4 linked regions of the Drosophila melanogaster genome follow. The gene in region 3 interacts genetically with the main gene of each other region. Each region holds a gene or a part of one and is shown on either strand. Other genes may lie near its edges.

Region 1 (7,723 bases), on a different chromosome or scaffold from region 3:
GGATGGATGCCCTAAGCAAGCCCAAGTTCAAATTTGAATATATTCTGGGAATGGCGGTGCTTAAGTTCTTAAAGGCTTAGCTGAAGCTAAACGGTAGGTGGTTTTATTTATCGGCGTAAAACAAGGATCCAAAGAAATGTATGACAATTACATTTGAAGATAGATGGTCGTAAGAAATATCAACAGAAGCGAATCAATCAAACTTTGTCTTAAATTTACACAGGAGAGTTATGCAGTGGATAAATTATGCCTAACAAATTATAAATATCTCTAAAATAGGCTCTCAATACATTCATACATAGATTGTTCTCAAGTTTCGTGCACTTTTAACAAATATCTCGTGTGATATCGGTTGCGAACATAGGAATAGACAGACAGAAGTGTGTGTTTCGTGTTTACAGTATACAGTAGTAATACATACGTATGTAATAATAATAATAACAGTAACTATTTAACGCAACGTGGTCGTCAAATGGAAAGGGGGAGGGGACGGTAAAGCAGGCGCTTAACTGGAATTAAACATTAATCAACAAACCGACCACAAATCGACTGCCACTCATTCCTGGCAGAAGCCCTCAGTCTCCTCGATGGCAAAGGTCAGCTTCTCCACCAGCTGATCGTAGCTCTTGTACGGCGGCAGGTCCAATCGATTGAAGCAGGTGTGCGAGCGCGGCAGCCACGTCTCCTTGCCCACCTTCTCGATGCAGAAGCGCTGCGGCCCGTTGGAGCCCATCAGCTCGGCGAATCCTCCGACCGGCACGCGACACGTGCCCGTCACAAACTGCAGCAGGCGAGCTCGCTTCTCGTTATCCGTCTCGCGAACAAACTGTGGAGCCAATTATCCGGATTAGCGAATGGAAAGGGCACAAAGAACACAAAGGAACCCACCTGCCAGAACCAGACAACTTGCTTGGAGTTGCGGTTGTAGTGCCTGTAGATGGTGTTGCGCTGCCAGTCCTCCACGTCCACGTCCTGCATGCCGCACAGAATAAGCTCCAGCTCGCGCTCGTCAAAGTACTTGAGCCATTCCAGGGGCACCACCTCATTGAAGCCTTCCAGGAACGTCTTTGTCTGCTGCTCAATGCCACTGCAATAGGAATCAGTTAATACCGAGTCAAAAATGACACCCATATTGACAACATATTGTCGTTTATCAAGTAAAATGCATACCGTGTCATCCGCCACTCCGTCATGAGGGTGATGTACTCCTCCTTGTTCTCCTCCGTGACGCGCTCCTTTTCCCCGTTCTCCTTCAACTCATGATGGATTATCTGACCGAGCACTTCGAAGTCCACGCTAAACCAGAGCTCCAATCCACACTCATCGATGTTGTTATCTTTTACCCAGATAAGTGAGTTGTAGAACTCCGGATCGATCGTTTCGATGTCCTTGATGGTCAACTTCTTGTTCAGCATGCGCTTGTAAAATGGCATTGTGAATCCACTGTAGATAAACCTTCCATGATACAGGGCCATCGCAATAAAGCGACCGATGAACTTGAAGTACTGCAGGTGATCGGGGTTCACGTACGAGGCGGGATTTATCTGCAGGCTGTAGTTGTTCTTGTTCGCGTACTCAAACAAGCAGTACATGGGATTCAGAACCTCGTGGGAGAGCAAGAAGAACCACTCGCGAGATACACCACCATAATCCAGTCCCTCCTCGCCGCGGAATATGATATAGAGCCGCCTTCGCAGTTCGTAGGCTGGCAGACGCATGATCTGGTGGTATGAATCCTCGAACAGGGTTTGTCGCGTCACCGTGATCTTGATGTGCGATGGCAAAGCGTTGCTCTGGCACAAGTACCGGAACTGCGACAGCTTCCAGCGGAAGCTGCGTTCGTAGGCGCGTGGCACTCCGTACACTCCCTTGGCGCCCTTCGGAGCACCGGGTCGAGGATCTTCGAAGGTGGTTCGTCTCGTGTTGTGATCTACGAAGAAGCGCTCACCGGCGGCTGTATAGCGGATTTCCCAGCCGGGTGGAAGCGGGCCCTCGTTGATCAAGCTCACCTCCTGGCCCTGCGTGCGTGGATCCTCCCACTGGGTGGTTCGGTTCTTGTGGTTAACAAAGTACACTCTGTTGTCCGATTGGATCTGCGTAAGGATTAAGTAAATAAAGGAACGAGTTAAAATAAATACTTTTTCTAATCTAGACAAACGGCTTTACCTTCTTCTCCCAGCCATCTGGTAGTGGACCCAGTGCATCCTCGTCGTCCTGCGTCACCTGGGCTGTCACCGCCGTTGGTTGCTGCTGCTGCTGGGAGTACAGGTATCGCTGGTTGCCTTGAGACACGACGTGGGCCCGCTGACCCTGCCAGTGCTGGAAGTGCATCAGACGCTCACTGTTCGGCCGCTGCCAGGTAGTTTTTCTTGTGTTGTGGTCTACGTAGTAAACTCGACCGCGCCCATCCTTCCTGATCTCCCAGCCCGGGGGCAGCGGTGTCGGTTTCTCCCAGTATGTGGATCGTGTATTGTGATCTACGTAGTATCTGCGACCGTACTGGTCCAGACGGATTTCCCACCCTGCAGGCAGCGGCTCATCATCCGCTGGTTGTGTCTGCAGTTGCGGATCTGTGCTTTGGCTCACGGGCAGTCCAACTCCTGGCTGTTCAATTGGTGGGCCTGCTACTCCAGGTGGTCCTACTGCTGCTCCTCCTCCAGCTGGCAAATAAACAGCAGCTGGTTGTGTATTCTCTGGCAGCGCTCCGTACACTTGGGTTAGAGGACGAGCTAGTGCGGGAGCTGGTGGCTGCTGAGGATACGGAGCTGTCTGCGGCACGGCCGCCCCACTGCCATTGACCATTCTCAGGGGCTGCTGTTGATTCTGGGATTGCTGCTGTTGCTGTTCCCACACCGGGGGCGCCTGCGTAGATCTCCTGTGATCTCCACCTCCATTCGGCAGAGGAGAGCGGGTCTCTCCGCCGTTGCTATTTCCACTGCTCGAGCGTAGTCGCATCCGTGCCCGTACTCCACCGTAAATCATGCAACTTCGTCCGGCGGCCGCATCACTGACCACCGACGGATTGACCGCCTGGACGGGTGGATTGCCATTCTGTTGGCCAGCCACTGGCTGAATCTGCAGCTTGCTCATATCGAGTTTGAGGCCATTGAGGATGGCCACTAGTTCGCCGCTCTTCGTCTGGCGATTGTCCGACTTGCTGGTGACGAACAGGTCGATGGTCAGCTCAAGGAACTCGCACCGCCCATTGTAGTGCTGCAGAATGTGCGCCAGGTTGATGATCCGCTCTCCAAGCATGGCATCTTTACGGAAACTGGAGTGATCCAGCACTTTGAAGTGCAGCGTTGAATTGGGTGTAATCTAGAGACGATAGATCCCGTGGATATTACAAATAATTGACTTTTATTACTGTTTCTACTCACCAGCACTGTGAACTCCTCGTTCCACTTGGGCAAATAGCTGTTCTTCACCAGGTCCGTTTTCCGCTTGCTTTTGCTGTCAATCAAGAGCTCCACGTAGGGATTTGGCTTGAGGAAGCCATTGTTGCGCAGCGAAGCCTCCTCGACTGAAAGGATTTGGGGCCATTATTGATTGAACAGAATGTTTCACTTTCTTTTGTTTGCTCACTTGTCACGCTTAATTGATGATATCCTTGATTGGCACTCCCACTGGCCCCCGCCCCCGAGCTGGAGGTGGGCGTGGGGCTGGCGGATCCCGCTCCATTCACTGTCTGCCCGGCTTCCATGCCGCCGGAAGCTGCACCCGCTGGCAGCCCATTTCCATCGGCCATTTAGTGGCTGAGTGTGTGAGTGCTCCTGGTGCTCCGCCTCCTCCTCCGCCTTATATTCCTCCCTTTGAGTGAAGAGAAAGCCAGTATTGAGCACGCTGCTATTGAATATTGGTGGTGGAAAGTATCGAATGGGGGGAAATTGCGTGTTCTGGACTGATAAGATAAGTCCGGAACACGGTCTACATACGTAAATGGTTTATCAATACCCAAAAATGTACAATGCTGTTGAACAGGAAGCTTTTATAGAGTGGAAATAACTATCCGAATAAAAGTGTTGTACACACTTTTGCTAGGTTTACAGATTACCAACAGGCCTTTATGGGAACCCTGAGTGATTTACTAAGCACTTTTTAGGTGTTATGCAGTTTTCCTTAGTCGCTTTAAGCTCTCGACTACTTATACACCTGATCTTAGAAGGCAGATAATGCCAGCTCTATATCATTATGAAAGCGACTATCCGCAGATAAGATATGGCCTGTATAGCTTTGTGTATTATATAGTGTGTAAACGACAGTATGGCAACAAAACTGTTTGCGAATAGGCCTTCACTTTTTTGGTGAAATAAACTGCTCGAACAAATTGTGAGCTGTAAAATCGGCGCTAATGTATGTACAGTGCAACTCGGTCATATATGAAAGATAAAAATTATGCTATTTCAAGCGAAATTAATCATGACCAAACTGGGTAAACAGTTTATTAAAAAACTGAGTAATGTTTCTGATCCCAAAATATATTCTTTGACTAAGTGAGGCTAGAGTTCTAAATTATTGAAAGAAACTTGTATTACTATAGAAATTCCCCCAAATAAATATATAAATGCACTGATAAGTGCACTTGATTTCGTGGACTTTAAACTACTGGGAAGCACCGTATTATCGCCTATTAATTTTCTCCATAATTTGCGACTGCCACGGCTGTGTGCGTGTGTGTTTCCCTGTACTTTTTCGTACACACTCAGCACCGATTGCTGGTCATCCATAACTTTGATAGCAAACACCCCGCTACACAATAGATTGTATAATAATGTTGCCATGTGAGTCATCGGCTCAACGCGAAAAAGAAAACGGCAAGTGAATTCGGTTTCAATTGTTGAATGGCTATTGCATATTGATTGTGTGCAGGAAGCAACATGGCCGATATGGCGATACACAAGCCCACAAATAAGTTATTTTGTTATATATCGTCAGAACTGAAATCTCAATGCTTTAATGACTTCTTCGCTTTGCTTATCGGCATGCTGATAACTACCATGATTTTCTCGCTGTGTACCGTTCGCGATTTCTCTTTTGCTAGCGTTTTCACTACATTAATTAACCGAGAACACGTGAGCAAGTGCAGCTTGTTGTTTACCATTAGTGTCTACTCATCAGATTCTGTGACCGGATTGAAATCGATTTGGAAGGGCTTTGCATGGATCTGAATGGGACACAGTTCTCCGATCAATTAGCACGCACTTTCCGGCTCATTTCGCCTATCATTCGAGCGCTTATCAGTGGGCCGATGAACAAAGGGAAGCTATCTGGTGGGGCAGCCGGAGCGCGAGCCAAGCGAAGTAATCAGCAACAGCTGTCAATAAGCCTAGAATGCACTTCTCGCTCGATGGATGGGGAGGGGTGGTGGAGGGAGGGGAACTTGAACTTCCTTGAATTATCGACCGCAGGGCTTAGTCACCCACACAGCGCCACTATGCTACAGTACACACATATATATGTGTAGATATATATTTATTCGTGGTCATGTAACGCACGCCAGAAAGAAGGTAACTACCTCTCCCACTCCCACTCCTTCTGTGGGTGGGCGTGTGTGTGTTTGTGTGTGTGCGCTTGTAATTGAGGCAAAGGTCGCGACTTCCGTCCCGCTCGCACTCGCTGCCGCCGCTCTACCGCTGGCGAATTCCAATGCAAGAGGCGTTCCTTTTTGTTTTTAGCAATTTCTGGGGGTTTCTCCTCCTCCGTTTTCCTTTCCTTTCTACCTGTGTCTTACCTTCTGCTGCTTCTTCTTCTGCCTCTGGTGCTCCTACAACTTGCGCCTGTGTGTGTGGTTGTTGTCTCCTGTGTGCGGCTGCATGTGCGAGTGTGTGTGCGGGATTCTTAACTGGGTTTCCCGGGCCCCAAAATTGATGGCTGGATTATTGCACTAGTTGGCGCTGCCGCCCTCGCTTTGGTCCACGTAATCGCGAGCAGTTGATATCGCTGCACTAATTGTTTATTTGTTATTTTGCTTCGCTTGCAAGCAGCAATTTCTAGAGCTGCAACTTTGGACGATGTTTTTCGATACAACTGATGTGGCCACTCAGTGCGCGAATCGATAGGTTGAATTCAATTGGCGAGGCTTGTTATGCACGCTAGACTGGGTTGGCGTACTCGCTATATTGCCAACTTACATGTTCAACCAGAGTTGCCGTACAAGCTCAAAATGGAGTAGCCAACCAGATTTGAAAATGACCGCGAATAGGAATTAGGAATAAAAATAAGAACGTATTGCCCGTAGTCACAACAAAACAAAGGTAAATAATTAGCCAAAAAGTTATGCACCAGCTAGTACTTCTGGCCCCTCTGATTTTATTGGAATCTAAGCTTATTACTCCATATAAATTAGAAGCCCCCTGAATATTCATTACTCAGTTGCGTTGCTCATTGAATTTCTTTAAATGTTATTTAATTTTGTGGTGCTATTGAATAAATATAAAAGCGCGGATTCAGTTCATCGAATAACATAGTGTTTGGCAGTAAAAAGTGCTTACAATGCTAAAATCCGCAAGTGCTTTGCTATGTGGTCTTCTTGCTTTAAATTTGTATGGAGCTTGGGCAGAATCCGATGTGATTTGTCCTTTAAAGGACCCTCCTAGTCAATGTGGAGGATTCTGTCTGGGTGTACTTACGCCCGTGTTAAATCACCTGACCATTTCCCAAAATCTGGCGAATTCCAATAATTCAAGCAAGGCTAACGAGGTCCTGGTGAGACAGTACACGATGGAAGGCCAACTGACTGCTCTGCAGAATAAGCAACTAAGCATTGAAGTCGCACTGGATGCCCAAGGCAGAAAACTGAATGTTAACGAACAGAACTTTACTGAACGACTGAATTGCATGGAAGGCATACTGTCGGCCCTGGAGAAAACAGTCCTTGAAGTAAAAACCAAAATAAAATACCTCGGATTCGAGCAAATCGGCTCAAAGTACTATTACATAGAGAAAGTATCCGAGAAGAACTGGTCCACTGCTTCAAAAACTTGTCGCAATATGGGAGGGCACCTGGCCGACATTAAGGACGAGGCAGATCTAGCCGCCATCAAGGCGAATCTCAAGGAGGACACGCATTACTGGCTGGGAATCAATGACTTGGACCACGAGGGAAAATTCTTGTCCATGCCCACGGGCAAGCAGACTACCTTTTTGAAATGGGCCTCGGGGAGACCCTCTCAGTTGGACACCCTCAACTGCGTGTTCCTATACAACGGGGAAATGTACGATTACCCATGCCACTATACTTTCCGGTTCATTTGCCAGACCGAGGAGGAAGATTTAAATGTATGATTTAAATAGAAACCACATGAGAATAATAAAACCTTTGCTGATGCCGTAACACCTGTGATTTTTTATTCAATCCCTCAAGCCTTCATTAGCTTATCTCTATTACTCACTTTATGGTTACTAAATTTACCAGTTTCACGTTATATTGCACTTTTAGACAAACAAACTGCGCACAAAAAGTGAAATTTCCTTGATTCTCCGATCTTTCCAGTAGCACAAAAACTATTTGTTTAAACAATTATTAGCACTCGTTTTAAATACGAGCACTGAGAGCGGAGAGTCCAAGAAAATTCGTCGTATACCATGTTGTTTGTTCGCTTTCGGACTTTTTCACACATTGTCAAGAGTTTCAGAGAACGCGGCTCAAAGTGAAAATTATCAAAATTTAATGTGCCGACCGCTCCGCATCCGCAGTCATTCGTATCGCGGGCTTCGAACGGAG
Region 2 (5,585 bases), about 13 Mb from region 3:
CTATAGGATTTAAGTTATTTTCGACTAGTTTGTTAAAATTAAAGTTATTACCATAGTTACTTTTACGATCACCACTTATGCATAGTTATTTTTAAAGAAATTCATAACCGTAAGCAGGAAACCAACAAACGACAAAAATCCCAAAAAATAATATATAATTTTCTTATGTAGCGTGTACCAACATATTTTATAGAAGCAGATCGAAAGCAAATTGGATAATTGCCTTGAAGCAACAAGAAACAACCACAAACCACCGCAATTTATTTAATTAATGTACTTAAAACTAAAAGAGACCCAGTGGCAGGCGAAAGCAAAAAGACCACACAAACCTTAAACCAAGAAATTATCATTATTGTTGAAAACAAAGCAAGAAGCATACCGTGAATCGTTCACAATCACTTTAAAACCAAAATGAAATGAAATCAATAAACTATAAAAATTGAAAAAGTTAAACCCAGCAAGTGCTATTTACTTAAAATCGTATGGAAAGATAACAATCTTCTTAGGGGCTGACTAGATTTAAGGTCGATTTATTTAGTTTGTTTTTTAATTGAAATTGGCTAAGCAATCGTATTGGTTGAGTCATGCAATTGAAATTGTTGGAACTATGCATACAATATTTTGTATATGTTTAGTTTAGGAGACTGTAGGAATTTCGTAGTAAGCTCTATTTTTTCACTATTCTTGTATATAAATGCACATAATGATCTTAGGTATAATGATCTTAGGTAGTGGTAGTACATAGCAATGTGTGTGCCCAGCGGACGGGGGAACCATGTCCATCTCGGATCGAACGTGGCTCCTCCACGTCCAACTGCCTGACATTCGAGTATAGTGGGAAAAGTGAGTTTCATTTCATTTCATTTCATTTGAATTGAATTGGAGTGAGGAACCGTATTGTTTGAGTGCGGACTTTTCAGGTTGCGCACTTCGTTGAATTTGTCTCCTGATAAAGCTACAATTAATTGAGCACTAACTTTATGTGTGTGTGTATATACTATATATAAGTACAATTATATGTATCAAAAATGCAATCAACAATATCAGTCCGTTGCCGTGGCCAGCAACAACAATATCTCCTATTCTCAAACTCCATTCATTTCACGCCCGCTGAAACGGAAATTGATACCAGATATTAGGGATTAGGGCTTAGGGATAGTCAAGCATACTCCAATGGGGATGGATGTGATATGTAAATTGAGCAGATCAGTGAAGGTGCCTAGCCTCTGGCCAATCCAATCCATTTCGGTACTAGCCTTGCACGTATCCCAGTTCCGTCTACTCACCCAGCCGTGGATCCTATGGCCAGGCGAAGTTGATGCCCGTCAGCTGGTAGAACTTGTTGTTGAAGGGCCGGTAGAACTCCCGGAGGCGCTCGATGGCCCCGGGATCTATGTGCGGATGGTTGCGCCCCTTGGTCTTACCCAGACAGTGGGGCGTGGAGCGTGCCTCCGACTTGAAGAGGCAGGGGAAGCCCTTGGTGGCATTGAAGTAGAAGTGCTTCTCGGTGACCACGCGCTTCAGACCGAGGAAGTCCTGTACGCGTCCAATCTCGTAGGCGGGATCCATGATCAGCCGCTCGCCGCTGATGAAGAGCAGCTGCGAGAGCGGAAAGTAGAGCAGCCAGCGCTCCAGATAGCGTGCATAGACGCCGATCTTCACCGGGCCCCAGTTGGTGTCCACCACCGAGTAGCTACCGTTGACGAAGGCCAGCTGCTCGAAGAGCTTCATGTCCGCCTTCTTGCTCGCCGCCTGTGTGTAGTCGGAGATGGCCCGCGTCACCGGATCCCGCACCACAATCAGTAATCTACGGGCGTATAAAATTGAGGTTAAGTGAAGATATGCTAGTGATTGATGGTCCAGATACGTAGGGTTAATGTAAAACGCATAATGCATTTAGAATATAATGTTAATCCCTTCTATGTTGATCAAATCGAATGTTGTATTCCGAAAACCATTTCACTTAAGGTGCTTAAAAGTATGATAAAACCTAAAACAAGTTCTAAAGTCTTGTGTATAAAGCACATATTTAAAAGGACTCAATATTTAAGGGATATCCGCCTTAAAAATCTCAGCTAAGCGTTTGAAACACTTTTATTATATAGTATGCTACGATTTACGTACGGTTTCAATATTTAAGGGATATCAAATCGGCCTTAAAAAGTATCTCTCTTCAATTTTCAACACTTCTATTATAGGTGCTAAAAAGTATGCTATGACTAAATACAGTCTTGTGGATAAAGTGCAGTATTCTAAAAATATCATTTTTAAGAATTGACCGTTTTTAAGTTCTATCAAATCTGATGGAGTAACAATTTACGATTATGATCACAATAGGTTTGATGTAGAAAAGCTCACTTTGTTGCCGGATTCATGTGGTAGACGCGCTGCGGCACCTCCTTGGTGACGAAGTAGCTGGGCGTCTTCTCCATGGTGATCTGGCCCTCGATAGTGTACGGCATGTGGTGGCGGTACCAGCGTAGTCCCCGCTGGTAGTGCCTGTCGAAGAAGTGCACCTCCGAACCGGCGGCCCGCACGTCCGGATGCAGGCGGATGAACTCGAGCAGCGCCCGCGTCCCGCTCTTCTTCACGCCAATGATGAGCGTGTCGGGCAGGTGGCGCGATGGTCGGAGCCCCTGCTGACGGAGCAGCTGATACTTGGGCGCCCCATCCAGGCTGCTAGTAACCGTCTGTGCCGGCGGAGCACCGGTGGTGGATGAGCTGTTCCTGCTGCTGCTGCTGTTGCTGCTGCTGCTGTTGGCGGCGTTATTGGTCTCGTTGCGGGGCGAGGAGGTCAGCGCCAGTAGATTGCGTAAGTTGCTCTGCGCGGGAGAGGTCAGAGGTCAATGCCACACATCGTGCGAAACATATCAACATATTGGCTTATGAAAATGCCCAACTTGTAAGTATGCCGAAAAGTATGCAACTATAAATGTACATATATATAATCGTATATATGTATGTAGATAGCATCGCAAAGTTCAGCGAAAGACAAAACTTAAACTTTTCACAGCACACTTTTGGACAGCTTGTTAAATGTTTTGAAACCGCTGGGGATTATTACAACCCCCCCCCCCCCCCTAATTTTGAGTTGGCTCCACTTTACACATGTGTGTAGCGAAACTTTATATTCGATTTTCCAATTATCAGTTTGTTTTCATGAATAAATGCATTGGATATTGGATACATTTAGCCCCTACACTTAGACATTGTCCAGTGATTCGTGGACATATTCACCTGCTGCAGACTGCGACTGATGCTGGCCAGGAGGCAGGCATTGAAGCTGTAGGAGAAGTAGACCAGAGTCACGCAGATCACCAGGGCGATGGCCAGGCTGCGGCTGCTCAGGCTGAGGCTGCTGCACCAGATGCTCATCACAATCATGGCTGGCTGGGCGCTAGTGGCTGCCGTGTCTCGCATCTGGCGGTATAATCGGTTCCGAGCGCTCCGTCAAATTCCATTGCCACTCAGTCGCCCCGGAGCACTGCCTGCAGCATCCGGATTCCGATTGTGATTTGCAATCGCAGCAGCGGCTGGCGGCTACCGCCAACGCGAAGTCAACTGAAGGAATGGGGCTGTTCGCAACGCTGGAGCTGCTGGTAGTTGCTGGTGGTTGCTGCTGCTGTTAGGTGGCTGGTGGGTGGTTGGTGTGGTTGGGGTGGTGCTGGCGCTACGAGTTCGGCCTGCAAGTGCCGGAGCTGTCGTCGCAGCCGAGTTGCGGAAGTGAAAGCCAGGGATAAGGCAGGGCCAAGACATTGGGGTGCCCTGCCAGCGGATAAGCGCTGCCTGGGCCGCCGGTTCGGCTCCGTTTGTGCAGGATGACAGGATGGGTGGGGGAAGCGGCCGTGTCATGGTTGCGCCTGGGAAGCGCACAGGCGCATTGGACACATCCTCTCTCGTCTCGGGACGCTTATGCAACTGAGCGTTTTGCTTGCTCTCTCGCCAGCTCGTCGAATCGCCGTTGGTGTGACGTCGCAAATGTACACTGCCCGAAAGAAGTGCCAAGTCTTGAATGTAGCAGATAATTAATGTAGTGACAGCTTGCTATCACATCATGTCTTTAAGAAAGAAAGCAGACATATATAGTTAAATCAAAAGATACTAAAATCTGAAGAATTTCCGCTTTGTGAGGGTTTGACGAAATCTTTGCTTTCTACACAAATCAAATCTTAATAAATAAGTATTTCACTTAAGTTAGTAATTAATTTCCAAGTCTGATAAAGTTATATTTATATTAAGCAATAATAATAGACATTATTGATTTGTTAATTTCTAACTTCACAACGAATACATGATAAAATGTACTCCAAAAACGCAATCGTTAAGTAGTATTTCTAATATTTTTTATTATTTCTAAAAATGTATATATGTATATAGTTTGTTATGTAGGCTGGGAATGCCATCTTAATATTTATTCGACCATAATCTTTTCGTATACGGCCTTTTATTTTCTTACTTCCTGTCGCAACTCTCTCTCTCTCTCTTTTTTGCTCTCGGCTTCAATCAATTTTCCGCTCAAAGGTAAACAAACTAACCAAGAACTTACCCCCACCCACTTTGGCAACCAACCACCCACCCACAACCCAACCACCCCATTTGCGTCTGATAAAGTACTTGCTGGCATTTAATATTGGATTGAAATCAATTTACCAAGCATTATCGCCGGACGTTCTATTGCCCGTACTCCTATCACCATTAGCCATTTGAGATTAGTTTTAAGCCCTATCGTTGGAATGGCCCAATGGCCTTTGCCACATTGTTTTCTTATGCATATGAAAGGCCAAAAAATTGTACGTTTCCGTGGCAGCGTGGTAAATAGTAGGGGCCCTCAGTTGGGCCAACTGCCAAGGAGCTTATCAACCGGCGGACATCTGTTTATCTGTCCAAGTGGCTTATTCCACTGCGGCATTAGTCACTCACTTTGGGATACACTGGCGAAAAAAGCGCCAGGAAATTCGATCATATAAATTGGGGTAAAAATATTTACATAAAATGGGAAATATAGTACTTCGAGTAATGCCATAGATAGATACTTGCTCAAAAAAAGATACATTCAGGTACAAAAAAAAACATTGATCTATAACCAACGAATTTCTCCACAAGATGCGCAACATAATCGGATTTCCTTTTGACTATCATAATTCATGAACCCGAGCGGAGAAATGGCTAGATAATCCCAAACCCTCAACTTTTCCGCCCGTGTATCCATGGCCACCACACACATGCACCTGGTCGGGTCGGGTTGGCTTATCTTATCGCCTTATCTGCGCCGCCTTCGTCGCAGTCGAATTCTCCGCCGGACTTCCACCGGCCCATTTGCCATTTGTCCGGCGTCGCATCGTAGGCATCTCCATTCCAGCTGCTCGCTAAAATGCTCTAAGCTCCTTCGATAGACGAACCTTCCTCTCCCTGCTGCTGGACTAACTAACGCAAATCTATCGCAAAAATGTCGAATGTGTGGGGCAAACTGGTGCTGAAGTTCTTTAAATATGCGCCCAGCTATGTGGGTGAGTTAGCCACGCCAATGGAGATCCTTGTCCAGAGATTACGTCTCATTCACTTCCAGTCTGCCTGTGCTTCCTGCC
Region 3 (7,034 bases):
CGCCTTAAATGGCCCGGAGCAACTTCACCAGAGCATCGCCAACATCACCAGCATATCCAACATCACCAACACATCACGCACTCGCTGCACTGCACAATGACAAAAAAAAAAAAATGCATCGGATTTTTTGTCTTTTATTAATTTATTTTAAGTGATTCACGGCGGCGTAGACTGAAAACGAAAACCGAAAACTGAAAACAGCTAAACCTTGGAAGTTCCAAAAATGTCAACTGATTGATTTGAATTGCACCGCATTGGTAAGAAACTGGCAACAATGCAACAATGCCATAGAGCCACCTAATTGGAATTTAAGCTTGTGCTGGTAATTAGTTTACAAGCAGCATGGCACAATTGAGTGAATAATATAACATAAGAGGCATAAAGAAAAAAGTCCCAAAAGAAAGAACTCATTCGAACATACATACATAAGTGAAAAAGTCCAAAAAGAAAGATTTCCTTTTAGACATGAGTGAATAAATATCCCAAAAGAAAGACTTAATTTGAACATGAATGAAAGTTACTTTATTTGAACTATATATAAATGTACTGTATTATATATGCGTAATATGCATACATAAATGGTGTGGAATTTGTTGTGGAATATTCGCAATGAACTTTAATAACTAATCAGTGCTAAATACAACTTAGTAAAATCATATCATATCATATATCAAATATGGTGGCGCGGTCAGTAGCCGCTAGCTGTCCGTACGATCTCTACATACTATATGCTATATATGCTATATATTGGCGATGTATACGATAGTTCGTTCGATGCTCGATGATATCAATATGAAAGCAACAATTCATCAAATGTATGCAAGGGATTCGATAAAAAAAATTATTGTTATGTCGTATGGCTATGGGGCTATGTTAAAATATGTTTATGTATGTATGTATATGTATATGTATATGTATATGCGTAATGGAATATCTGGCTGCGTTACAACTATGCTTCCTAAATGCTCCGTTTAATAATGAATAATTCAAATTAAAATCACATCAAATTCGCTGAATGAAAGAGATTAAATGGCCAAGACAAGTGAGACAAGTCTATCGAATTTACCCATCTCCATTTCCTCTCTCAAAATACTATTTTAATCCTATATAAATCCGATATAAAGAAAATTCACATGGATCTGATGAAAGAGACAAATTCGAAACCGAGAGAGATGGAGAGATGGGCAATGGTTATAGCTAGCTATATCAACAATATACATATCCTATAAACGGGAGCGCTACGATTTTGGCACAGCTTGCACTCGAATGGCGTGGCTTGGCTTGGCTTGAATCGAATCAGGAATCAAGAATCAGGATAATGCCTAATACTAGTAGGTGTCTTGGGTCAAGATTCTCTTGGGAACTACAGCTACAACTAACTAACTAACTAACTAGCTAATACATATGATGTACGCCAACTTATTGCGTATGTGCGTACAAATACGAATTGGAAGAGCGGAAAGGAAGCTACAATTGCAATTGTGGTTTGCTGTTGTTTTAGGGTTCGAGCAGCTCGAACGCTATTACAATATATCTATAAAAAAAATATATCATAGTAAACGAGGATTGCACACACACTGAGATTATGTAGAAAGTAACTTAACGACGAATGGAAGAGAATGATCGAGGGGACTTCGGTGGGTGGGTGGTTGGTTGATTGGTTGGTTGGTAGTTCTACTCGGGGACAGGGAACTAATCCTTAATCCGTCACGCCCAGGTGCACCAGCTGTTGCATGGTTCGTTGCAAATAGGTGGGATCCGGAAACATATTGAACTGCGTCTTGTGATCCACACTGTTCCAGATCACCACATCCTCGCGTCCGGTGGTCACCGATCGTCCGATCGAGAAAAGCAGCCGACGATCGAATGCAATCTTGAGGAAGCGCAGCACTTTTCGCCCCAGCGGGCAGTCCGGCAAGTAGCAGATCCGCGGAAATCCCACGGCGAAGAAGGCACGACCCGGATGCGGATGCTCCTCCGTCTGCAGTCCCGATGCAATGCTGCCATGCAAATGAAAAAGAGTGATTATAGTTGATTGCTCAGTGGCCACAGGCACATTCACACTTACTCGTAAACAATCTGTATGGTGTTCTGACCCTCGTGTCCTGGCAGATTCTTGCTGATTATGCTCCACGACATGCTGCCAATGGGCTGATTGCCAACCTTCTCGCCGTAAACGATGCCGCATACAGGGCACTCGATGAAAAGGTTCTAGGGGAATGAAATTTAAATAAACTTTCTCTTTCTAATTGGCATCGCTTTCGCGTGCTCACCTTGTTCATTTCGTTTTGCTGGGCAATTATCATCCCATTGAGGCACTGCAAATGCATGAGATGCTGGCAGCGACTCAGCGAAATGGCCGGATTCTGGGCGGAGTGCACCAGCTCCTCCATGCACATGGGACAGGGCTGGGCATTGGGCCACAGCGGTGGCTCCACCACCTTGACAAAACGCGATATCATATCGCTGGCCGGGTCCACGCCCACAATCGAACCGGCGATTGATTGCTGCTGCTGCTGCTGCGCCTGTTGCTGCTGTTGCATCTGCAGCTGCTGTTGCTGTTGTTGCTGCTGCTGTTGCTGTCGCGGATGCAGTGGTAATGGCGGCGGCACCGGCGCCCTTTCGCCCAGCGACGATGGCGGCAGCGAGGGCACAAAAACTTCATCGCTGCCAAGCGAGCAGTCCAGCAGATCATTGACCGAAATGGCAAAGTTCCTGCTGCGCAGGCTCTCCTTGCTCTCGTGGCTGAGGTAAGTGGACACAGTGTCCACACTGGGTCTCCGCCGATGCGATTTCACACTGTTCGTGTCCGTGTCCGAGGTCCGCGTACGCGATCTCGAGCGATGCGAGCCCATCCGGCTGCTCCTTTGCGACTGCAGCGATCCCTCCGAGCAGCGACTATGATGACTGTTCATCGAGGCAGTCAGCATGTTCTTGGCGTGCGAAAAGTGCGCATGCGACAGATGGTTGGCATGGTGCAGCGAGGCCGATGAGGAGGATGAACTGGCACTGGCCGCCGTCGACATGTTCGATTGGTGCTTAGTGCTGCTGCTGAAGATGTTTAGGTTGTTGAGTATCTGGCGTAGATTGGTGGTGGAGATCTCGCTGTGCTTCTTGGGCGGCTTCCTGGGCGCCGTCTGATGATGGATTTGATGGTGCTGCATCTGATGTTGCTGCTGTTGCTGATGCTGTTGTTGCTGATGCTGGTGATGATGTTGCTGCTGCTGCTGCTGTTGATGCTGGTGCTGATGCTGCTGCTGCTGCACTTGATGGCTGGTGGGCAATGGGTGCTGTTGCCTGGTCATGGGCACTCTGTGCAGGCTCTTGGTGTCTCCCAGTTTGGGTAGAGTGTTGTACTGGCTGCTCACGCTGGCGGAATTCGACTTGAGTTGGTTGGCCTGTTGTGGCGTTAGTTTCACCAAGGGATACGGCGCCTGTTGGGTACGCCGAATGCTGCGCATGGGTCCGCTGGGTTGGCGCAGCTGGGTGAGATTGCAAAAGTTAATGGTGTACGGCAGGCCGATGTGGGTGTTGCACAGGTCCAAGGTTTGTTCGCCCTGCAAGGGAGTAGGAATAAGTTATGTTACAATCTATAATTGATGATATTGATTGATTGATATGCGGTTGCAGTTGGACTTTGTGCAAGAAGAAGAATAAATTTATATAGCCCCTAAAATTTGATCATAATACCATAACTCAGCCAAAACTCCAGCGATTTAAGTGCGAATGATTTTAATAGTCATTATTTTTAAAGCAGAAAGTTTCTGTATTCAAACTTTTACAAAAGTGAAAATTAAATTTTTTTTCAATTTTTTTGTCCCATTTTGAGGTTGCAAAAATGGAAATTTTTGAAAAAAAAATTAATTTGATTTTAGCTAAAAAATTTAAATGCAGATTTATTTGTCTAAGCATCAGAAATTCAAAAAGGTACACTTCTTCGATCTACTACGTTTTTTGGCTGAGATGTGAACTGTGGAATTTGGCTTATATGTACTATTTAAACACCTATGGACACATCACAGACTGGTGCATCCTTAGCCAATTCTTCAGGATCAGTGGTAAACCCACACTCTTTTAAGATTCCCCATATATTCTCCCGATAAAAAAATTCCTGAGCAACTCAAAATTCCAACTAGACTGCCAATGGGAAAACATTCGATTCTGCACGGCACTCACCCTCGCCCAGGCGTCCTCGATGATGCACTGGACGTGCATGTTGTAGGGCCGCCAGTCGTTGTTGCTATCGGCACTGCCGCCCGACCACTCCCACTTGGTGCCCTTGCCCGCCGGCGAGCTGGGTGCGTAGAACATGCGCCGAACACCGATGGTCAGCAGGCCGGAGCCGGCCGTTTCCGCCTCCGATTCCTGGGTCATTGTGCGCACGTTGACGTAGTACTGCTCCAGGCTGGGATCCGCATCGCTCAGCATGACGCGCGTCAGTTTCTTGGCGTGGGCGCGTTCCAAGTGCTGCGACACCGCCGGCGAATAGGGCAGCCACTTGCCGCGCGACTCGAACTCCCACACGCAGACGGCGTGGGCGTGGTTCACGGGCGGCCCACCGGATCCGGCGGTGGACAGGGCCATGGTGGCACAACTGGAGGCGGCGCTACCTCCGCCACCGGGAACAACGGATCCGGATGCCGCACTTCCGGCGCTGCTGGCCATTGCTTGCAGTTGATCCGTTATCCGTGGAGTGAGCCCATTGCCATATCCATGCCCATTTCCATATCCAACTCCTCCTGCGCTCTCTTCACTAGCTCTCACTCACTCACTCTCTCTCTCTCGCTCTCTCTTGCTGTTGCTGTCGCGCTATCTCGCTCGCTCGCGAAGATGGGCACAAAATAAACAAAGAAATTAAAAATGGTGGACCCGCTGCCAGCGTTAGTTATCCCTGATTTTCCCTGGCTTCCATTTTCCCGAAGTTTTCGTTCTGGTTCTTTAGTCACTCGGTTTCGTTTAGGCGCAGCTTAAGAATTCACGTTTGATGGTAAAAACAGTTTTTCTAGCATTTAGCGCAAGCGCAGGCGAGAAATTTTTATTGTTGGACAGCGATTTAATGAGAGACAACAGCGGAAAATGGCTAAATAAGGCCGGATGAAAATACCGCACTGCATCTGCAGCCACCAGTTGGATTCGGTAGTTTCAGGGTTGGCATAACTGGTTGCTAGCTAGATCTAGCTAAATGTTTAATATTTTTTATTTTCTTTTCTTGCACTTGAATATAAACAGATACTATTTTTAGCTTGTTAATTAATCAATTAATATATGTGTAATTGAATTCTATATTGAAATGAAAAAAATAAGAACTTGCAATGATTTTACTTGATATTAATTTCAATATTTTTTATTTACTTTGGCAAGTTTAAGCTACTTTTCTTAAGCAACGCGACCTCCAACACTGGCTGCTTCCAAAGTTTCTTTCTATTTAGTATTTCTTTTCAAGATTTTCGGTAATACAAATCGGTCACTTTTAAGAAATTCATAATTTGAGCATGTCTTTGCTGTAACGATCACATTTGTGGTGTATGTCCTAGATAGGATGGAATGTTAGATATATTATTTTTATTTAAACGAAAGGTATTCTGACCACGATTTGATTCGTTTTCAAGCGCTGGCCTATTAAAAAAGAAGTTACGCTTAAATAACATTGTTTTTTAACTTATCTGATGTACCTTAAAATTTTTAAAACATAAATGGAGCGAGTCTCTGCTAAGAATAAGCATAGCCTCTCACCTCGGTATATCGCTTCTTTTGGCGTTTCGGTGCAAATGTGGCACGGTCAGATCGAATCTACTCGATTTCCAACATTGGAACTGCCACTTCCTTTCTTTTTCGTTCCACGTTTCCGGTGAGTGCATGTGCCTAGCGAGCAGTCCTGAATTTTGTGCTAAAAACCAATATTTTATTTACTTTCAGCGAGTATTTCGATACGTTCGTGGTCGTGCTTATCACAGGTAAAGCTCACAATTCCAGAAATTCACCCAAAAACTACGCGGCCGGCGAAAATGTGTGCAAAACCAAATTTTTTGTATAATTTTTTTTCTGTGGGCTTCCAAAGCCGGATTTAAATGTGCCACTTAAAAGAACAAAGTGTAAACAACACGTGAAGTACGCAGTATACTCCGAAAACCTTTTTTTTTTTTGTAGTGAAATTGCCAAATTCCAACCCATTTGAACAAAAATGTGCGTTGCGGCATGTTTTTGTGCATGTGTTGGTGCAGGTGTATGGAGTGTGTGTGTAGAAGTGTTGTTAAAGAAACCTTAAAACTTCAAAGTTATCAAAATGAAAGTAATATTTCTTCAATTTAATGAAAACGGAGTAGATTTCTTCGGAAAATCTGCGAAAAAACGTGTGTTGTTTATACCCAATTATCACACACACACACACACACACACGCAAGCAACATGGTTTTTTTTTTCTTTCCGTACTTACATTTTTCATGCACGTGTTTTGCTGGTCGCCGAAGTTTTGCGTGTTTTCCCATTAACTTTACCAAGTTTAAAACGTATTAATGTGCTAATTCTTTTTTAGCAACTGCTTATTTCGGTAGCAAACTTTAAAACCGCTTGAAAATGGTTGTCAAGAAGGTGAGTTATCGGCGTAAATTTGCTGTTAACTCGAATTAACCTAATGCGTGTTTTCATTGCGTTTACAGCCCAGGCCAAAGAAGAAGCCAGTGACCAAGAAGGTGGCTCCCGCTCCTCTGGCTGTCAAGAAGCCCGTGGTCAAGAAGGTTGTTAACCAGCTGTTCGAGAAGCGTCCCAAGAACTTCGGAATCGGTAAGTGCACAAAACATATTCTATATATATGAATATTGCAGCGGAATTTCTTACATATTAGCTAAATGTATACATATTCTCTCACTTTGCAGGCCAGAATGTGCAGCCCAAGCGCGATCTGTCCCGTTTCGTTCGCTGGCCCAAATACATCCGGGTGCAGCGTCAAAAGGCTGTGCTCCAGAAGCGCCTGAAGGTCCCACCACCAATCCACCAGTTCAGCCAGACTCTGGACAAGACCACCGCCGTGAAGCTGT
Region 4 (7,201 bases), on a different chromosome or scaffold from region 3:
CCGAATAATTAGTCATTTTTAAAATTAGATGTCGACGTTAAGATGCGAAATTCTGACCGCCCAGTTTACGTCAATTTAACACAATAATATATGCCCGTCAAGATAGCGTCAATTTGGACAACATTTTTGTGTTGGGTTTATTGGAACTCGGAAGTGGAACATATGTTAGGGGAATTATGGGAAAAAGAGTAAGAAAAATAACTGGTAGCACTTAACGTAGAAACTGGAATAATCATACTTTGAATATTTATTATTAATCTGATAATTACCTTTGTGAATCCTGTATGCTTTGCACAACAATTGGCAAATTTCAAGAACCTCTTATTATTTATTTATCTTAGCTATTGCCTCATTTGAAACTATTAGTTAAATTCCAATAAAATATGAGATATCCATTTAATCGCTGCACTTTTCGTGTCGAAAACTAGTTTCGAGATCAAAACTATAAATTTAAGTATTTTTTTCTAAACGTCAATTATTTCTCCCCCCTTACTTTAGACAAAAACCCAAAGTTCGAATGAAATCTACAATACAAAATGTACATGAGTTTATTTAAAATAATTGTTAAAACTACTTAAATAAATATCATACAGTATATTTACAAATTCGAATAGATTAGCCAATTACTTAGCAATTTTAATTACTTTGCTAAATCACCAAGAATTATAAGTCCGTAATAAGCATTGATTACAGGTATGTTGATTCACCTGGAAATAAAGAAAAATATTCATTTATTAGTTTAGATTTTTTTGCTCAAACAAGCTTAATGAATTTATTAACTAAAACTCAACGAGAATACGATAAAAATCAAAATAGCATGAATGAATTAAAAGCAGAAGACTTTTGATGATGATGAAACACACAAAAGACACATTCTGCTTCAGGATATTTAGTTTTCAACAGCAACAGTGAAATAGTCGAATTAGTCGAAGTTCGACAGTTCGGTGCTAGTTTTGTTAAATGAATTGAGTAGAAGGACAATGGCAGTGCCCAGAGTCACATACTTATGAAGCGGTGAGGGATGTGTGATGAAAATCGATGCGGATACTGATTAAGGATTGCCGGTTAGTTGACCATTCGAGCCGCAGGCATGGGCTCCCACTCACTCACCTATGTACATTAAATTCTAAACAGATGTGCAGAGCGCAGCTGTAATCGATCGTTTCCCCGTGAAAGGAAGTGGATCTGTGTAAGCCTGTCTCTGCTAGTATACTCGTAAAAGTCTTGGGGACATATAAATCCAGTTCTGGTGGCTTCGTTTTATACATCAAAATTAAGAGATCGTTCAGCCAGAAGTCTTTTAAATCGTCTCGGGTGATTATTCTGGCGAATTCAATAAGTCAATAAGAATATAAATGTGTGGACGATAGCATATGTCGATAAAGGCTATCTCTTTTAACAAATCTTAATTTGAATACTCATACAATACAATTAATTACAAAATCAAACCGATAATGGTCCAGAAATCAATTGAATCGAAACTCTTAGTATTAAATAAATGTGAAATTAGAACAATTGTTCGGTATTACTCGATTAAAACGGATAGATTTTTAGTGAGATCTGGTCATTGAGAGTATAGTGTGCAGCAAACTCACCGGATTCCCAATCTTCCTCGCCATCTTCGGTACCACAGTTGAATTTTGGAGAGGATTGTTTACATGTGATGTATGAATTGTAATTGATGTTCTTATTTTCGTTTATACTTCGAGTGTCAGAGGTGATATGAACTTCACTATTCTGCCATTTGATTAAATCAGTTTTCTTAATGGACGGTTGATTAAATATATGATTTCGTTTTATTTCCTCTTTTGTGGAATCATTCAAGCTTGGTAAAAGAGTTTTGCTATTAGGCTGTTTGCGTTTGCACGCAGTCGAAGTATTTTTTGAATTGGTTGATGTGTCGTATTGAATTTTAGTCTACGAATATTAGATTTATAGATTAAGCATATTGATCGGCGCAAAACGTGTTTTCACTTACAACTATATCCTTATGATCCAACGTTTCTATTGTTTGACTTTTCGTTGTATTATCATTGACGATCGCAGTTAAGACTTTTTTTTCGGCATAGCAGTTTGGAGACAAACTGTCATAGTCTGATCTTTCGAAATTTAAAACATTTTCGTTTCTCTCTTTTTCGGACGCTTCAGCTTGAACATCATTGCTAAAATTCTCTGCCTCAAAAACGATTGAAATCTGAAAAGAGAGCAAGCACATTTATTTGGTAATTTCGCAGCATCTATTAAAATGCTTCGAAATATCCTACCTTGAATTCTTCTGAAAATCTTTTATGTTCACTGTCTTTATGTACATCATCGATTTCTGATTTGCTTAAAGTGTGTATATATTTGTTAACTGTTCCATCGGACTCGCAAGCTAAAGAGAATGTTTAATTAAATCGTTTATTTAATGCATGTGCGATATTAAGTATACTTACGTGAATAGTTTCGTACAAAAAACGTATTTAGCCAAAAGTGACAAATGATTTTATCTGGGGATTTTTTTGTGAGTTCAAATTTTACATCGCCGGAAACTGGTATTGATGGTTTAATGGTCAAAACAAATGATTTTTGAAAATCAATCGGCAAGGTTTTCAGTCTCTGCAATTATAAAAAAAAGAAGAATGTTACTGCTGGTTAGAAAGGTATTCGAAAAGGAACACTTTACTGCACTGAAATCGTGTGAAATATACATTTTTAAAATGCTGTCTATAGTCTATCAATGATGTATCTATATACTTTATATACTTACATCTGGCTTTGCATTTTCTGTGGCTGAGTCGTGTAATACAGATATTGAACATTCTACCATGCCTAAGTTTTGCACACAACTGGACTCCGAGAAGCGTATTTCACATACCTGAGATACAAAAAATGCATATTTAGATTTTGTACGGCGCTGAATGTGGCGCTGCTGCTGGAAATACTCACGTTAAGGCTTACTTTCGAATATGGAACACTTGAACAAACTAGTTTGGAAAAATACTGAACATATCGACGCTGAGATGGGATTGTCACACCTTTTCGGTCCTTTGTACGCTTCTCATCATACCACGCTAATGCCTCGTCGGCGGATTTTTTAATTCCACTGAACACTAAATATGCGCAGATCATGGTACCTGAAATGAAAAAAAACTGGGTTAGTTTTTTAGCCCTACAAATATCGAAACAAGATCATAGTGTGCCATGATATTTATGAACTTTCGCACAAAATGTTGAACACATTTCCTACCGGTTCTGCCCTTTCCAGCTTTACAGTGCACGGCTACAACATTGGACGAATCTTCCTTGAGCCACATATCAACATCACTGCAAAATCGTTGTATTAACTCAATCGTTGGAGGGTTATGATCATCGAACGGATAAACAGCTACTCTCTGTAATGCGAAATAGTATATTTTACATATTTTACGCCGACAAATAGAAAAAGTTCAACAAAATTACCCCGCGAAATTTAGCAACGTCGTAACTACGCTCCGAGCATAGGTTATAGATTTTGTAATGCTGGGCATGATTCTCTTCCAATAGCTTAAAGACATCTTCCAGACGGTTTCTGAATAGGCCCTCTAGTTTATCCGGTGCTGGATAGCCCATGGCAATTATGTTATCATTAATGTCTGTGGGTAAATAGATAATTTAATTTAATATTCCAATGATTGCGGTTGATTCAATAACTTACATGTTAAATCCAAATCGTATCCTTTTTCTTTGTATCGTATACGTTTTTTACTCACTACATTGCGTATCACGTTGGACATTAACGAAATAGTGTTGGCCATATTTTTAAGGTTTAAAGACTTGTCTTTTTTATTTAAATTAGATTAGCTGCATCCATTCAAATGTATTTGGGAACCAGTGCTTGTCTTCTATTTACTCCATTGCAAAGTGTACGTTCTGAAAGGAATGTAAAGCATATTAATTAATATGCATATGATTCTAACTAATCTGTTTATTTTCCACAGCAAGTTAGAAAAGTATTGACTCAATTCAGCTTAGTTTTCTACTGCGAATTCAAACCTAAATCCTTTAACAGCAGACAAGTTTCTAATATGGTCAATAGAAACTGCTTAATTATACTGTGCCAAGGCATTCTAAAGGGATATATGGAACTAATATAATGGGCTTGTTTTCTCCCGATCCACTTAGGTTGTTCTATATAAACTAATACTTCTTACTCGGCTAAGATATATTCCTGTTTGCAGTTCTTGCTTGGATACATATTTAAGCACGTACATACACATACAGACAGAGGTGCACTCTCTATAGGAATAGTTCCCTACTTGTTTTCCCAGGAACAGGTAAAGAGTTAACTTCAGTTCGGTTTATATATCCACAAATATCCTTAGCACAAACATGCACACACTCACACACACTCGCACATGCACACGCACATATGTACATACACACACACACACACACAGGCAGGCATTTGCGGCACACACGTGAAACATACTTACATGTATCGGCATATTATCAAAGATAAACAATATAACAATCTTCCGCTTGGCATAATACATTCAGATTGGTTGTCAAATGGTCCTGGTTTTAATTGTAACTGGCTAACAGAACAGAGTTCTTTTATTGAAGCCCAACGCACGGCGATTTCGATACGAATTCGAGCAATTAAATGGGTTCGTTGGCTGAGGGGGCGATTTTCGAGGGGTGAAAATCAAAATCAAAATCCGTTTTAGAAACACCGAGCAGTAATTTCGAATTACTTAACATAGCGACTGATTTGGCAACTGTTTTTTGTTTTATCTCGCCGAGTAGACACACTTTTTTGACAAACTGTTTGCGAATGGTGGTATGTATTGTAGTTAGAGCACATATGCATGTACAGAAATATGCAGATATGGATGATGGGCATGTGCACATATATGCACCGATTTTTGTGCATTTATGTACATATTTGTTTAAACAAAAACATATTTACAATTCCACAGACATTTTACACATTTACACTATCAGCACCACACGAATATATGTGCCCACTGTTTAATACATATGTATGTATGTGCATATGGGTATGTTTAAGTCAATAAGCTAAATGTTCCAACCGAGCAGGTTCTGGCTACTGCATTTCAAAAAGCTATCACATGTTTTGCTCTAAGCCACGAAATTTCAAATAAAACTTTTCAATTATGTGTAAAAGTTAAACAGTAGCGCTCATGCTCTATTAAATGTATTATTAATTTATCAAGCGTGAGATCCACAGGGTGTTTACGGCGAGCGATACCACCACAAGATTTGAGAAAATGTACATCCAGTGCTATCGACGTGCGTGGTGCCCTCTCGATTAAATTGTGTATGCAAAAACTATCGATGGGTCATCGATACAACCATTTATTTTTTAGCACTGCGGTTTTAAACAATATGTAATTATCTATGCATTTATTTTAATCTTATTAAACAACACACATATAACTTCATGCTACCAAAAACATGACTACCAACACATCTTTTACTCGAGTTCTACCCACGAAACTAATATTGCTACAGCTATTAAAAATTCCATTTCTTGCAAAACCAATATTATTTTTGGTATGCAATTTTTTAAAACGCAAACATTTTTAAGATTTACGAATACCTTTTATTTATTTTTTTTTCCAGCCATTGAAATGCTATTGAAAACTATCAGTTTGGGTAATACCATTAATGTAATCCTCTCTTTTTTTATTTACAATCGATAAAAGTGCAACAGGTTTTTTATGGGTATTCGATTATTTTGACATAAATATGATTGGAATTTAAAGTTCCTTTATTCAAAAGCAAAACCTGCTATCTGAATAATTTAAAATTTTAAAAAATTTTCAAAACTTTAAAAATTACACTCGTATCTTAAGGCTAGTTGGTTTCCGCAAAATGAATTCTTGGTACCACTTAATTCTCAACTGTTGACTTTAATTCGTAACTTGAATAAATCAAAATAGGCCAATCATCAGTAAATGTTATTGAAGCAAAAAGGACTCGAAGACGAAGAAATAAAAACAAGTGTTTTGCCGTGTTAACCAATTTCTCATTTATTTGTCTCGCTTTTTATTTGTTTAAAAAGTTTCTGCAGTCCATCGTTTAAATATTTAATAGCCCCTTGGGCTAACTAACTAATCGTCGTTATCATAAGTATTGCTTAGCTATGTTTTGAACTTTAAGCAATCTAATAAATCTGAAAGTGACGTTAAGAGATACTCCAACAAATGACCTGTTAATTTAGTTAAATGAAATAAAACATAAACATTAAAACCGATGCGCTTAATATAGTTGCTTGCAGCATTGGCTAGATTTTTGCCGTTTCGACCCAACTACAATAAGTTATAGATTTGTATAGTATTTGTCTTAATAGGTAAAAAGTTAGATCGATGGATAGTACACATGCAATATTTCTTACCAAAACGTAAAGTCAATGATTTGTTTGTAAACACTTGGCGGTTATTGCTTTTTAGGTTTTCGAGATTCAGAAAACAAAGCAGATTTTCGAAAACGCTTTCTTACCAGTTTCGGACTGCTGACTGCTTCATTTCGTAGGGTTTATTACGATGGTTATAAGAGGTTCTGTAAAAATGAACACCTACACAATTCCGAGTTCTCAAAATTCTTTAATGTTTTAGACCAATTATTTTGCGAAAGCTTTTATGTATACGAGAAACTGTTCCGCATTTCCTTTATTAAAATTGCGTACTTCTAGATTTTGGTTTGACGTTGTTCGAGTCTTAGCGTATTTTTCTTACTAGTTTTCTACGTTATAACTTAAATTTTACGTGCTTGCAATTGTCATGTTAATGGGTATTCGTTAAATAAATAATGAAGAGACGACGACTATCAGTTTTTTGTTTTTTCTTTTTTTTTTATCATTCTGTTGTTGTTGTTGATGTGGGGGAATGAGGGAATCTGTTGGACGATCGAAAACGATCGAATGCTACGATTTTAAATGTTTGAGTCTGCGTTTTACGGTCGCGCTTAAGTTATTATTTATTAATCTTTACTCATAGGCAATCCTTAAGCAACTATGAGTGGTGTTGTCATTAGAATCGATGGTTTCCCACCGGCGAGCGGGACCTGAAGCGTCCGGCCGACTGACCACCAGTGCGTCCGTAGCTGGCGCTACTTCCGCTGCTGTAGCGGCTGCTGTCGCGTCCACCGCCGTAAACCTCGCGGCGATTGAAGCCGCTGCCGCCGCCCTCTCTGCCATTATAGCTGCTTGCACCTG

What was found.
Region 1: of dx (region 3) and Su(dx), changing one suppresses a phenotype caused by changing the other (phenotypic suppression), as found in Drosophila melanogaster (3 studies listed by BioGRID).
Region 2: of dx (region 3) and Hs3st-B, changing one enhances a phenotype caused by changing the other (phenotypic enhancement), as found in Drosophila melanogaster (one study listed by BioGRID).
Region 4: of dx (region 3) and Pten, changing one suppresses a phenotype caused by changing the other (phenotypic suppression), as found in Drosophila melanogaster (one study listed by BioGRID).

What each region holds. Positions count from the first base shown.
Region 1 is NT_033779.5:2,036,017-2,043,739, reverse strand, and holds the start of Su(dx) (suppressor of deltex), read right to left. Parts: upstream 6,027-7,723; 5' UTR 5,516-6,026; intron 5,213-5,515; exon of another isoform or gene 5,099-5,212; intron 4,008-5,098; exon of another isoform or gene 3,936-4,007; intron 3,811-3,935; 5' UTR 3,749-3,810; coding exon 3,586-3,748; intron 3,524-3,585; coding exon 3,381-3,523; intron 3,319-3,380; coding exon 2,167-3,318; intron 2,094-2,166; coding exon 1,171-2,093; intron 1,088-1,170; coding exon 889-1,087; intron 827-888; coding exon 557-826; 3' UTR 1-556. Other genes in the region: lectin-22C, read left to right, coding at 6,493-7,284.
Region 2 is NC_004354.4:19,246,976-19,252,560, reverse strand, and holds Hs3st-B (heparan sulfate 3-O sulfotransferase-B), read right to left. Parts: upstream 3,923-5,585; 5' UTR 3,421-3,922; coding exon 3,238-3,420; intron 2,823-3,237; coding exon 2,359-2,822; intron 1,808-2,358; coding exon 1,300-1,807; 3' UTR 1,287-1,299; exon of another isoform or gene 1,111-1,286; 3' UTR 516-1,110; downstream 1-515. Other genes in the region: CG7992 (uncharacterized protein), read left to right, coding at 5,447-5,507, 5,567-5,585.
Region 3 is NC_004354.4:6,532,044-6,539,077, reverse strand, and holds dx (deltex), read right to left. Parts: upstream 5,080-7,034; 5' UTR 4,666-5,079; coding exon 4,177-4,665; intron 3,558-4,176; coding exon 2,274-3,557; intron 2,212-2,273; coding exon 2,069-2,211; intron 2,001-2,068; coding exon 1,700-2,000; 3' UTR 503-1,699; downstream 1-502. Other genes in the region: RpL7A (ribosomal protein L7A), read left to right, coding at 6,574-6,588, 6,657-6,780, 6,873-7,034.
Region 4 is NT_033779.5:10,255,800-10,263,000, forward strand, and holds Pten (phosphatase and tensin homolog), read right to left. Parts: upstream 5,251-7,201; 5' UTR 5,055-5,250; exon of another isoform or gene 4,786-5,054; 5' UTR 4,455-4,785; intron 4,189-4,454; exon of another isoform or gene 3,892-4,188; 5' UTR 3,777-3,891; coding exon 3,677-3,776; intron 3,615-3,676; coding exon 3,442-3,614; intron 3,375-3,441; coding exon 3,230-3,374; intron 3,117-3,229; coding exon 2,929-3,116; intron 2,858-2,928; coding exon 2,750-2,857; intron 2,599-2,749; coding exon 2,436-2,598; intron 2,375-2,435; coding exon 2,265-2,374; intron 2,195-2,264; coding exon 1,979-2,194; intron 1,918-1,978; coding exon 1,596-1,917; intron 1,324-1,595; coding exon of another isoform or gene 1,319-1,323; exon of another isoform or gene 1,111-1,318; intron 708-1,110; coding exon 688-707; coding exon of another isoform or gene 654-687; 3' UTR 520-653; downstream 1-519. Other genes in the region: CG5676 (uncharacterized protein), read right to left, coding at 1-16; Rsf1 (repressor splicing factor 1), read right to left, coding at 7,017-7,201.